Linked DNA regions of Macaca fascicularis. The main gene of each other region encodes a partner of the protein of the gene in region 4 in a complex. Links are inferred from orthologs where the notes say so. Each region holds a gene or a part of one and is shown on either strand. Other genes may lie near its edges.

Region 1 (3,500 bases), on a different chromosome or scaffold from region 4:
TGCGAGGCCGAGGGGGGCAGATAATGAGGTCAGGAGTTCGACACCAGCCTGGCCAACATAGTGAAACCCTGTCTCTACTAAAATACAAAAATTAGCTGGGCATGGTGGCAAGTACCTGTAATCACTGCTACTTGGCAGGCTGAGGCAGGAGAACTGCTTGAAGCCAGGAGGCGGAGTTGCAGGGAGCAGAGGTCACACCACTGCACTCCAGCCTGGGCAACAGAGCAAGACTCCATCTCAAAAAAATACATTAAAAAATTAATCTAAAATATTGTATGAGAAAAATCATTAAAGCTACTGTCGTTAGAGAAACAACATAGTGTTCTGTTCATCTCACCATAATACATAGGAAGTACCCCAAAGTTCAATTAATATAAGTCGATTTGAACACAAACAGCATAAAGTGAGGTACTAACATGTTACCAATTTTGTAGTTACTGGTAAATCTGAGGTAGAGATTACTCATTTATTTATGCAGAAAATGAAGAGAATGAAAACGAAGTTATGACAACAAATAGATCACTCAAAAATGTGCAGAATCTAATGACAAACACATTGAATATTTGCTTTTTTTTTTACTTTAAGTTCTGGGATACATGTGCTGAACATGCAAGTTTGTTACATAGGTATACATGTGCCATGGTGGTTTGCTACACTGAATATTTGCTTTCTTAAGCTCTGTCCTATGCAACTGTAATGTAATAACTGTTAACATTTATTGGCCGGGCGCGGTGGCTCAAGCCTGTAATCCCAGCACTTTGGGAGGCCGAGACGGGCGGATCACAAGGTCAGGAGATCGAGACCATCCTGGCTAACACAGTGAAACCCCGTCTCTACTAAAAAATACAAAAAAACTAGCCGGGCGAGGTGGCGGGCGCCTGTAGTCCCAGCTACTCGGGAGGCTGAGGCAGGAGAATGGCGTAAACCCGGGAGGCGGAGCTTGCAGTGAGCTGAGATCCGGCCACTGCACTCCAGCCTGGGTGACAGAGCGAGACTCCGTCTCAAAAAAACAAAACAAAACAAAACATTTATTGAGTGCCATGCTATGCTGTGCTTCACATGGATCACCTGAAGTAACCCTCTGATAGGCCTTGTAATAACACTGTTGTAGAATAAAGAATTTGGTGGGCCTCTCTCCCTCATTCCTGGGAGGTAGCTTCTAAATTATTGGACTTCCTCAACTAGTAGGAGTGTCTTATTATTCATGATGTGCCCTGATAGTATGTGCTACTCAGGTGACTTGGGGTGAACCCCTAGATAGTCTGTGCTAACAAGATGACTCAGAGTTGGGACTGGCCACCCCAGAAAGACCAACCATGTGATTAAAGTATTGGGCCTTTGGGCCTCCTGATGTCAGTCTGACCTCCAGGGAGGGGAAGAGGGATGAAGATTGAGCTCAATCACAGGGCCAGTGATTTAATCAATCATGTCTATGTAATAAAGCCCCAATACACACTCTGGACATCAAAGCTTGTGTGAGCTTCCTTAGTTGACAATAACTACAGGTAGTTAGTGTCAGAAGTCATTGCGACCTGTAATAGATAGGTAATATGATCTTCATCCTGTAACAAGGAAATTTAGGCACAGAAACAGGTCAAGTGACTTGCTCAAGATTAGACAGAAGAGAGCCAGGATTTGAACCTAAGCCCACGTGACTCCAATCCTATGTCCATTTTTTTTTTTTTTTTTGAGACAGAGTCTCGCTCTGTCACCCAGGCCGGAGTGCAGTGGCCGGATCTCGGCTCACTGCAAGCTCCGCCTCCCAGGTTTACGCCATTCTCCTGCCTCAGCCTCCCGAGTAGCTGGGACTACAGGCGCCCGCCACCTCCCCCGGCTAGTTTTTTGTATTTTTTAGTAGAGACAGGGTTTCACCGTGTTAGCCAGGATGGTCTCAATCTCCTGACCTCGTGATCTGCCCGTCTCGGCCTCCCAAAGTGCTGGGATTACAGGCTTGAGCCACCGTGCCCGGCCCAATCCTATGTTCTTAAATAATGGGCTAGCTCTTTGCCTCAATGACTAGGCAAATATGAATTTTCATTAGGAAAGTATATATACACATAAACATTTTATGGAATATCCCCAAATAATAATGCCAGTTTTTTAATCCCACTGATTGGATCACTAATAAGTAACATCATAGGACTCCATTTTGTTAAGTAATAATAGAATTTTCCACATATCATTTAGAATTACTCCACACCACATAGTTCCCCTCACATTGTATACTAAACACCAGACAAAAATTGGGGGAAAACAGACATTAAAAACAGAAAGAGGAATACCAATAAACACTATTATAGAACAATGCCAGAACTTCAGCATTTTCAAAATTTATAAACTTGAACAATGCTAACTCACTTCTTCAGCAGACATGTGAAATCGTAATGCATTTGGCAAGATGCTACCATATTCCCATCTGAGTGCTCTGATCCGAAGCAAGCGATCATACCTAGGACATCAAGAAGGTATTGGGTGGCATAAGAATAAAAGAGGGATCATGTGTGGACTTCATTTGGCCCCTGATGCAAACACACCAGCTCTAAAAAGACATCTTAGGAACAACAAGAGGAACATGAGCACAGTCTGAGAGTCAGCCTGAAGGCACTGTCCCCTCCTCCACATGTGACAACAGCACAGTAGTCCTGGGAAAAAGGTCCCTGAGGTCCTTATTTCTTTCTTCCCCACCCCCTCTTTTTTTTTTTTTTGAGATAGAGTTTTGCTCTTGTCACCCAGGCTGGAGTGCAATGGCACGATCTCCTCTCACTACAACCTCTGGCTCCCGGATTCAAGCGATTCTCCTGCCTCAGCCTCCCAAGTAGCTGGGATGAGGCACCTACCACCATGCCCGGCTAATTTTTGTACTTTCAGTAGAGACGAGGTTTCACCATGTTGGCCAGGCTGGTCTCGAACTCCTGACCCCAGGTGATCCACCCGCTTCGGCCTCCCAAAGTGCTGGGATTACAGGCATGAGCCACTGTGCCTGGCCAAAGGTCCTTATTTCTAAGACAAAGAAGAAAAATAGTAAGATCACTACCATATTCAGTAGTGAAAGACCATGATGCTCTTAAATAGTGTGGCACCAACAAGCGAAACACAATGAAGAAAATATGGCAAAATAATAAAAATTGTTAAAACCCTACAATAGCTCCACTTGGGTTCATAATAGTATTATTCTCCCTACTTTTAAAAGTGTTTTTTCATAATAAAAAATTTAAAAAATGAAAAAACAGAGGAAAAATTTAGAATGCTTATAAAGAGAGAAAAATCTTAAGATTTCTTGTTACCCATTTGAGATGGTCAACTGGGAAGCCACACAGAAAATCCTGCCACCCAAGCAAAAACTGAGAAGCTTACAGGTATGCTACAGTGCAGCGTCGATTTCTTAACAGAGAACAGTGTCGAAATTTGATAGTTGGTATCAAATCACTTCGTCCACCTGACTTCGCTTCATTCCTGATAGGAGCATTTAAAAAGAAAAAAAAAACATAATTTCAGGCTAA
Region 2 (2,792 bases), on a different chromosome or scaffold from region 4:
TCACTTTCTTGGTTGGATCCAACATCCATGGAATTTAAGACATCTTCATCCTTTATGTGAGTGAAGTTGCAAAAAGTGTATTTATAATAGAGAAATTTTGCAGAACCATACTCCTTGGGTCCCATTACAGATCTACTGAAACATCAAAGACTCTTGTAGGACTCCCTAGGCTAAAAAGAAACACTCCATTAACATCCTTATAAAGCCAACAAGACTTTGGGTACACGAAGCTTCTGAAGAGTATTAACTTTTGCCAAGTAAAATGAAATACACAGGATTTGTACTACTCTCACTTGTTCCTCGTCCTCAAATTGGAATAACAAGTTTGACAAGCGAATCCCCCTAAAATATCTAGTAACCTACTGTATTTGAAATCCTTTTGATCTACATCAGGCTGCTCTAAACTGAAAAACCATTTACATGAAAGGGTAGCTGTAGCTGGGAATTCAGTAGGATACTTCCAACAGTCCTGGTCAAAATGAAGGCACTGCCCTGTGATGTTTGAAATTCAAGTAACTTTATTTAAATTCAAAAACAATTCTAAAACTGCATTTAGAGTCAAGACCCTCTTGTATTATAAAAATCACATGTATTTCGAAGAGACAAAAATACTTCTAGGTTAACTAGACCAGATCTGACTTTGGACTTTATTCTTTAAACAAATTGCAGAGAATAGAGAAAAAAATAGGTTATTTACAGAAAACAATATCTACATATGTACTTAAAAGTACAAATTTGGTGACAGAAAAGACTTCAGTATATGCTGGCATCTCAGAAGCAGTTCTCAAAGAGCTTAGTTTTATTTTCTTGAATTTTAAGAATGCCTAAGATCCTTCTTCATCCTCGATCTTGGGAGCCAAGTAGTACTTCAAATGTCCCATATCAGCAATTTTATACTCTACAACTGAAAGACCGGAAGATAGTTAATTACTGAGGAGTATCACATATACTACCTACAAAACAAGGTTCAAATTTATTATCTTACCAAGGGGTACATCTGCAGACATACTGAGTGTCACCGTTGAAGAGAGTGGAGTGGCTTTTGTAAAGAAGTTCAGGTACCTCAGTGCAAAAGTTAGTTGAACTGGTTCATTCATCTCTATGGTAACCTACAAGAGAAAACAGAAGATTCATCATTGAAAAACATCAAGAAAGTTGCAATCTATTAGCTTGCATTTATAAAAACCCACAAACACTTTTATTAGTCACTTTGGAGGGAGCTATGAAAATTTTGAAGACTGATGCGTAAAGCAAAAGAATTGAGTATCTAGCTCGTCTTTCCTATAATTTAGATAACCAAATTATATAATATGGGAAAGCTTTTCTTTATGGAAATTCTTCTGATAAGCAGCTAATAAATGAATAAAACGTATTAATTTCAGCTCTGCAAACTCTAATGACTTAATGGATCTAGACAATGACTATTATAGCTGCTAACACTGCGAAGACGTCCAGACCCCTTGTGCCTTCTACTAGAGGCACACACCACCACCTATAAAGTATTCGTGCTCTCTCACCCCCGGCCGAAACAAAACATCCTGAATATCATCAAGGCTCCAGGGCTATAGCTACCAGTCTGTAGGACACAGGGTGGAAGAATTTACGTATACACAGGAATGCAATCAGCAAAATCCAAACTCTGGAAAACTTAACAAATCATCTAATTTCTTCAACAAATAGACTGTAATGGAAGGGGAATAATGAAATTAGAGGAAACCAGGCTAGGTGTGTTGGCACACACCTGTAGTCCCAGCTACTAGGGAAACCAAGGCAGGAGGATCAACTTAAGCCCTGGAGTTTGAGGCTGTAGTGAGCCATGACTGCACCACTGCACTCCAGCCTGGATGGACAGAGCAAGACCCTGTCTCAAAAACAAAGAAAAACAGAAAAAGAAAAAAATAAGGTTAGCAGAGGAGCGGAAATGTGATTCAGGAAACAGATAAAGAATCAGCTCCTAGCCTTTATTAATTAAAAAAAAACAACTTCCAACTGAATTTTACAACTTTATTTAAACTAAATGTTGACTACCCATTCAAGGGACAAGAAAGCAATATATAGTATTTATTGTAAGCTTGTAATATGCCAGACACAGCATATGCTAAGCTCTTTAATGTTACCATATTTAATCCTAACAAGCTTATGAGATTAGGACCTTCGTCCTTGATTTACCAAGTTTTAATTTATGCTCAGGTTACCGAGTTTTTTTTTTTTTTTTTTTTTTTTTTTTTTAAGATGGAGTCTTGCTCTGTCACCCAGGCTGGAGGGGAGTGGCATGATCTGGGCTCACTGCAACCTCCACTTCCTCAGTTCAAGTCATTCTCCTGTCTCAGCCTTCCGAGTAGCTGGGGTTACAGGTGTGCACCACCATGCCCGGCTAATTTTTTCTATTTTGGTTAAGCAAGGGCTCTCTAAGTACTCTCAAAGTTGCACGGAGTCTGCTTTCTAGCCTTAGTGAGAAGTCTTCCTGTTTAACCTTTGATTCCTACAGCCTGTGACTTTGGCTAAATTGTCACTTAAGATTGCTCAGCCTGCTTCTCCACCTTTAAAATGGGCTACCAATTGGACCCACAACATGTACGCTAATATAAGGATTACATAAGTGCTCCTAACAGGTAGACTTTTACTCCTAACCATACCCTTCTATAGAGTTGCTGTTCTATGCTTATTTGGTAAGAGTAAGTATCTCCAGAAAGCTAAAGGTTAGATGCCTAGCTTCCCAATCCTACCCTTAAGAGCCTGTGTGGGCTTGATCCATAAACCATTGTTCTGTGGTATGTACACGTGCTGAATTT
Region 3 (3,500 bases), about 35 Mb from region 4:
GTCTCTCAGCACCACATTCCGTAAAGATGATTTCCCAAGTAATGGTATTTGACTAAGTTGCTCCAGAGTGTTAGGGTGCAAACCACAGTTAGTAAGCTCCTTATGAACAACCTCCTGTGGAAATGTGTATACAAGTCAGTAAAAAGCACATCAATCTTTAAACACAAAAGAGTTTCAAATAATTACTATGGAGACTGACAAATGTCTCATTCACGTGATTCATCCTATCAACAGAAGTTGATCCTAAGAATTTTTGTAGTGACAAAATCCCAAAACATTAATGGTTATTTTTATAAGTCTAGCCAACTGAGATGCATGAGATAATTTTAAAGGTCTTAATTATTCTAGCTCTAAAAACCTTAAGTATATTCAAAATTAAAGGCAAATATGGTTAAATAAATACCCACAGTGAATCATGTTTCCTTAAACTATAAAGGAATCAGGTACTACTGAGTTTTGGATCCAAGAGGAAATGAAAATAAAAGTTGTACCTTTTTGAAATGCGAAGTTCTTCAGTCACTGTTAAAACTGTATTTGGACTGAGCCCGGGCGCCATGGCTCAAGCCTGTAATCCCAACACTTTGGGAGGCCGAGGCAGGTGAATCACCTAAAGTCAGGAGTTGAAGACCAGCCTGGCCAATATGGTGAAACCCCGTCTCTAATAAAGATACAAAATATAGCCGGATATGGTGGCACATGCCTGTAATCCCAGCTACTTGGGAGGCTGAGGCAGAATTGTTTGAACCCAGGAGGCTGAGGTTGCAGCGAGCCGAGATCGCGTAGCTGCACTCCACCTGGGCAACAGCAAGATATCGTCTCAAAAAAAAAAAAAAAAAAGAAAATTGTACTTGGACTGAATTCATGAAAGCTGTTCTTTCCTCTAGTAATTCGTAATTAAATAACAGTTTAATTACTTGAAACACAAAAGTGACTCAGCATAAATGACTCACTTCCCTCCAGCTAAACAACTAAAACAGTCTGCTCATAGGTGTCTTTCTTACCATATCAAGTACTTTGTCCACTGGCAGGCAGATGTTAAATACAGCAGTTGGCTCGTGTGGATATAGTACTGCAGAGAAAGACCCACTCTGTGAAGATTTGAGCAGCATGGTCAGTGAATGCAGAGAATGAGGCATGATAGGACCTGTAATCTCCAAACTAAACTGGTCTCTGTATCCAGAAAGAGCTTGTGTCTTCACATTTACACTTCGTGCCTTTATGAAAATTTAAAGAAAAGGAAAATTATGATCATCTCTCAACCTTTTGTCTAGCCAAAAATATGTTCAATATATTTCCATTTGGGGTTTCCTCTCTTTAACAATTATGGAACAAAACTATTTCCCAAGACATCAAAACAATGTTACGTGAGTACAAATACTTAGTAAATTTTCAGCATCCTCTCCATATTATGAGATTTTCAGGTGATGTATATTCCAGAGAATACCACTTTTTCATATGGTATTTTGTCTGATTTAATAACACATTGTCAATGCAGACTATTGGAAAAACAAAAATTTAAAGTCCATTCAATTTTATTACTAAGTAATAAAATTGTATGTATTTTGTATTTACATATATAATTTATTATGATTATAATCCCAGCACTTTGGGAGGCCAAGGTGGGAAGATCACTTGAGGTCAGGAGTTCAAGACCAGCCTGGCCAACATGGTGAAACCTTGTCTCTATTAAAAATACAAAAAAATGGCCGGGCGCGGTGGCTCAAGCCTGTAATCCCAGCACTTTGGGAGGCCGAGACGGGCGGATCACAAGGTCAGGAGATCGAGACCATCCTGGCTAACACGGCGAAACCCCGTCTCTACTAAAAACACAAAAAATTAGCCGGGCGAGGTGGCGGCGCCTGTGGTCCCAGCTACTCGGGAGGCTGAGGCAGGAGAATGGCGGGAACCCGGGAGGCGGAGCTTGCAGTGAGCTGAGATCTGGCCACTGCACTCCAGCCTGGGCGACAGAGCGAGACTCCATCTCAAAAAAAAACAAAAAAAACAAAAACAAAAAAAAACCAAAAAAAACAAAAAAAATTAGCCAGGCATGGATGGTGGTGTGAGCCTATAGTCCCAGCTACTTGGGAAGCTGAGGCAGAAGAATCGCTTGAGCCCGGTAGGCAGAGTTTGCAGTGAGCCAAGATCAAGCCACTGCCCTCCAGCCTGGGTGACAGCAAGACTGTCTCTAAATGAATGAGTGAATGAATGAATGAATGAATGCAGGGCGGCCAGGTGCAGCAGCTCATGCCTGTAATCCCAGTACTTTGGGAGGCCAAGGGAAGATCATGAGGTCAGGAGTTCAAGACCAGCCTGACCAATATGGCGAAAACCTGTCTCTACTAAAAATGCAAAAAAAAAAAAAAAAAAATTAGCCAGGCGTGGTGGTGCACAATTGTAATCACAGCTACTCAGGAGGCTGAGGCAGGAGAATCGCTTGAACCTAGGAGTCGGAGGTTGCAGTAAGCTGAGATCGCACCACTGCACTCCAGCAGGTGACAGAGTGAGACACCCTCTTAAAACAAACAAACAAGAAAAAACAAAACAAAAAAAATAGCTAGGGTTGGTAATGTGTGCTTGTAATCCCAGCCACTCAAGAGGCTGAGGCACAGCACAAGAATCACTTGAACCCGGGAGGCAGGGGTTGTACTGAGTTGAGATCATGCCACTGCACTCCATCCAGCCTGAGCAGCAGCGCAAGACTCCGTCTCAAAAAGAAAATAAAAAGGATTTCATATAATTTACATATTTCCACATAATTTCTTTGATGTAACTGTCTTATAAAATTTTTTTTTTTAATGGGAGGAAAGCAAAGGGAAAATATGTACCAAGTAAAAATGCTACGAGGTTTTTTGTTTTTTTAAATCAAGAATTTATCCTATCAAACAAAGTACTTTGTATTAACAGCTAGGTTATGGAGATTTTTATTACCTTAAGTATTTGCATTGTGGCACCTCGGAAAGCAACAGGGGACAAGAGGGTTGGAGGAAGTCCTGCCTGTGGACCTGAGGTAGCAACTAAACTCTTACAGTTAATCAAAAAATTGAGCAATGTAAAGGTGTTGATTCCTTTTACCAACACAACAGACTCAGGTCTGTGATCCATCTGTACTTCATGTTTCTCTTTACGACTGAAGATGACAATCAAGGAAATTGCAAAAGCAAATCTCACCTAACGTGTAAAGCAGTTATCTTGATTCTGAATCACCCAAGACTCCTTTTCCCCACAAAGAAATGGAAATCCTCTTGCTACCTCTCTTTACCGAATCATAAGGCATATGTTTCAATCAAAATGTTAACAATCTGAATTTGCTACAAACTGACACCTGAACCTAATTTCTTCTCTAGTCAAAACACACCTATTCTCCCACAAAGAATCACAATTGAACGTTTTGATTAAAAAAGGTTTAACAGTTCACCATTTATTACTTAGGGGCTTATTTAATATTACAATGGACAATTAGTTTTAATATGATCTGAAGATAATTCAAGATTATAGTCATA
Region 4 (2,907 bases):
GTGAATTACCAGGAGGGAGTTTCTCAATGACCGTTTACTACATATTTTGGAGAGGCAGCTAGGAAGTGGTCTACAGGTCAGGATTGCTGTATGTGATCACTTGTGCCGATTTTCATCACCCGCTAACCAGAGCTTTAGAGTGGGAGTTGGGAACTAAGTGGTTAAGTAATGACCTGTCTGCTAGAAAAGGGGAAAAACCAAGAGACCCTGCATTTCATACTGGCGCCGTATCCCCAGAGCCTGACTGGCACACAGGCAGTGTAAGACTAAATAAGGGAGTCGGGGGGCTCAAAAAGTGGAGCCCCAGCTCAAGTATCTCCAAACAGCAGGGACCACTTAGTCTTTGCCACATCCCCAGCATCTATACTGGGGCCTGGCAGGGAGATGCAGCTTACTCAGACAATTTACTGAGTGGATGAAATAGGAGCATAAAAAAGGAACAAGTAGGAATCTAAAAAACACACAATACCCTGTTTTAATGAAAGGCCCAGGCTAGAAGGTGGCAATCTACAAACACTTTATTAGCAGAAGGAATAAGTGCAGCATAGGAGAAAGAGGGGCTCCTCCTTCCCCTCAAGGGCATCACTGCCCCTTCCCAAGGGGCGGGCCAGCAGGGAACAAGAGGACCCCAGGCTTGCAAGCACGCTGGAATCAGACAAAAGTGATCCGTGTCCGGGAAGCATTGACCTGCCAGACATTGAGCTCCTCGTATTCATCCAGAGCCACCTGGAACTGGGCGGGTGTAAAGCCGCGAGATATGCAGCGCTGCTCTGCCTCAGAGAACCGGACGCTTCGGCCCCCTGAGACCAGTTCACGGATGGTGGCAAATACCACATCTGCTGGTCTCTGAGCCCTGAAGGAAATGAGTAGGTGTGTAAGGTCAGGGGACAAACAGGAATGCTCGACATCAACAGAGAACAATGATGGTCAGTGTTAGAATTGAGGCCAGCCTCAGACACATGGACACAAAAGCCAAAGTGACTCAGCTTTGTCCTTCACTAAACCACTCACCTAGCTGTCTGCCCCTTGTCTCCCAGAAGAGAGTCCTTTGACATCTCCATTAGCCTGATGGCTTCATTCACATCTTCCTTCTCCACCACGTCCACCATTCGCAGACGCGCCTAAGGGGAAGGTAGGGGACAGATGGGAACGGGAGGAGGGCAGTGGAACAAGGTCAGGGAACACCCTTGTTCTGGCTTTAAGGCTGGGCAGCCCATGGGTTGCCTACTCACAAAACAGGAGAGGAGCCCCCCACCCCCCCCAGCATCCGCAGTGTTGGGCCGGCACTGTCAGACCGAGACAAGTGCAATGCCCAGGGCAGCGTCCAGCAATTGCCCAAGTCTCCGCCTCTCAACACTGGCCAGTCCCGGAGTTCAGCTGTCCTGTGAGGGAGACCAGACCCTTTTGAACTCCACTGGGCTCCCCAGCATGACAGATGGAGCTTGGGGAGCTCAGCCAAGACAACTGGCAGAGAGAACGTGTCCTGGGGGCTCGGGAAGTGCTAGCTCAGCAGTAGGTCGGTTAATCACACTACCTGCACGAACAGCACTTTGGAGCCCCCAGGACTGAGGTCCAAGACGGGAGGACAGAAAGGAAGGTCTGTAGCACAGGATCTAGGACATGGAGTGAAACAGATCCCAACCACCCGCTCAGTGAAGGTTAACAAGTGGGGAAAAGGTCTTTCCCTCCACGGACGCTGTGCGTGCCCTGCTGGAGCAGCAAGTACCCACAGTGCGGTAGCACGGAGAGGACCACTATCTGCACTGTCAGCACTTTAGCCCCAGCAGGGCTGGAGCGGGAGGGACTCGGCGATGAGAGCATGGTAAGGAGCTGCCACTTTAAGGGTCAAAACAGATGGTCCTCCAGCAGTTTGGGCACTTACCAGAGCAGTGGAAAGGCGCAGGATAGCCAGCAGGGTCCGAGCGGAAGTGTAGGTGGCATCCTTACTAGCCCAAGCCTCTCGCCTCATCTCCACATACGCTGCCGTGATGTAGTCAGCCAGAGACTCTGGCACTGTGGGCTGCTTCTCGCGGCACATGGCTATGTAACGCCTGTGGGGGAAGGTTCATGGGGAAGCAGAAGAGGGAGATGGGGAAGGGAGTGAATATGAGCCCATGTTGTTTTCTGCACCAGGGCTCCCCATTTAACATGGTCCCCTCCAGGAACTTTAAGTGGAAAAAAACAAATTAGTGGGTATTTGCTTGGCTTGAATATCACTGATGGATTTCACCAAACATATAGCCCCCGAGGACCCTCCCAAGTTATTTCCTTTTTTTTTGGGGGGGGGGGAAATGGCCTTTGTAAGGGTAAGACAAATCCATCTGTCAGTAATAGATGATCCAGACCCCTCCTCTGAGCGCATGACACAGCAAAACAGATATATTTAAAGAGAATAGTTTACAGAATATTTAAAAGGGAGTAAAAACCTGAGGGAACACTGGAGGCTCGTGGAAAAATAGCGATAGAGGCTGAGTATCCAGAATGCCTGGGAGCAGGTGTTTTAGACTTCAGATTTTGGAGTATTTGCACATACATAATGGGATAGCTTGGGGATAGGACTCCAGTCTAAACATGGAATTCACCTGTATTTCATATACAACCGACACATATAACCTGAACACAATTTTATTAAAAATATTTTTGTGGGCCAGGCACAGTGGCTCATACCTGTAATCCCAGCGCTTTGGGAGGCAGAGGCGGGCAGATCACTAGGTCAGGAGATTAAGACCATCCTGGCCAACATGGTGAAACCGCTCTCTACTAAAACACAAAAAATTAGCTGGGCGTGATGGCGTGCACCTGTAATCCCAGCTATTCAGGAGGCTGAGGCAGGGGAATCGCTTGAACCTGGGAGGGAGAGGTTGCAGTGAGCTGAGATTACGCCACTACACTCCAGCCTGGCGACAG

The links.
Region 1: MCM7 (region 4) and GINS1 share a complex: the UniProt entries of both Homo sapiens proteins name them as parts of the CMG helicase complex. The link is inferred for Macaca fascicularis from reciprocal best matches to the Homo sapiens genes MCM7 and GINS1.
Region 2: MCM7 (region 4) and PCNA share a complex: the UniProt entries of both Homo sapiens proteins name them as parts of the replisome complex. The link is inferred for Macaca fascicularis from reciprocal best matches to the Homo sapiens genes MCM7 and PCNA.
Region 3: MCM7 (region 4) and DONSON share a complex: the UniProt entries of both Homo sapiens proteins name them as parts of the replisome complex. The link is inferred for Macaca fascicularis from reciprocal best matches to the Homo sapiens genes MCM7 and DONSON.

The regions. Positions count from the first base shown.
Region 1 is NC_088384.1:61,985,506-61,989,005, forward strand, and holds part of GINS1 (DNA replication complex GINS protein PSF1), read right to left. Parts: intron 3,454-3,500; coding exon 3,355-3,453; intron 2,450-3,354; coding exon 2,359-2,449; intron 1-2,358. UniProt on the Homo sapiens protein: Required for correct functioning of the GINS complex, a complex that plays an essential role in the initiation of DNA replication, and progression of DNA replication forks.
Region 2 is NC_088384.1:82,165,114-82,167,905, reverse strand, and holds the end of PCNA (proliferating cell nuclear antigen), read right to left. Parts: intron 1,110-2,792; coding exon 986-1,109; intron 905-985; coding exon 825-904; 3' UTR 501-824; downstream 1-500. UniProt on the Homo sapiens protein: Auxiliary protein of DNA polymerase delta and epsilon, is involved in the control of eukaryotic DNA replication by increasing the polymerase's processibility during elongation of the leading strand.
Region 3 is NC_088377.1:13,341,720-13,345,219, reverse strand, and holds part of DONSON (protein downstream neighbor of Son), read right to left. Parts: intron 3,128-3,500; coding exon 2,929-3,127; intron 1,215-2,928; coding exon 1,002-1,214; intron 115-1,001; coding exon 1-114. UniProt on the Homo sapiens protein: Replisome component that maintains genome stability by protecting stalled or damaged replication forks.
Region 4 is NC_088377.1:48,746,570-48,749,476, forward strand, and holds the end of MCM7 (DNA replication licensing factor MCM7), read right to left. Parts: intron 2,052-2,907; coding exon 1,883-2,051; intron 1,122-1,882; coding exon 1,012-1,121; intron 854-1,011; coding exon 652-853; 3' UTR 501-651; downstream 1-500. UniProt on the Homo sapiens protein: Acts as a component of the MCM2-7 complex (MCM complex) which is the replicative helicase essential for 'once per cell cycle' DNA replication initiation and elongation in eukaryotic cells.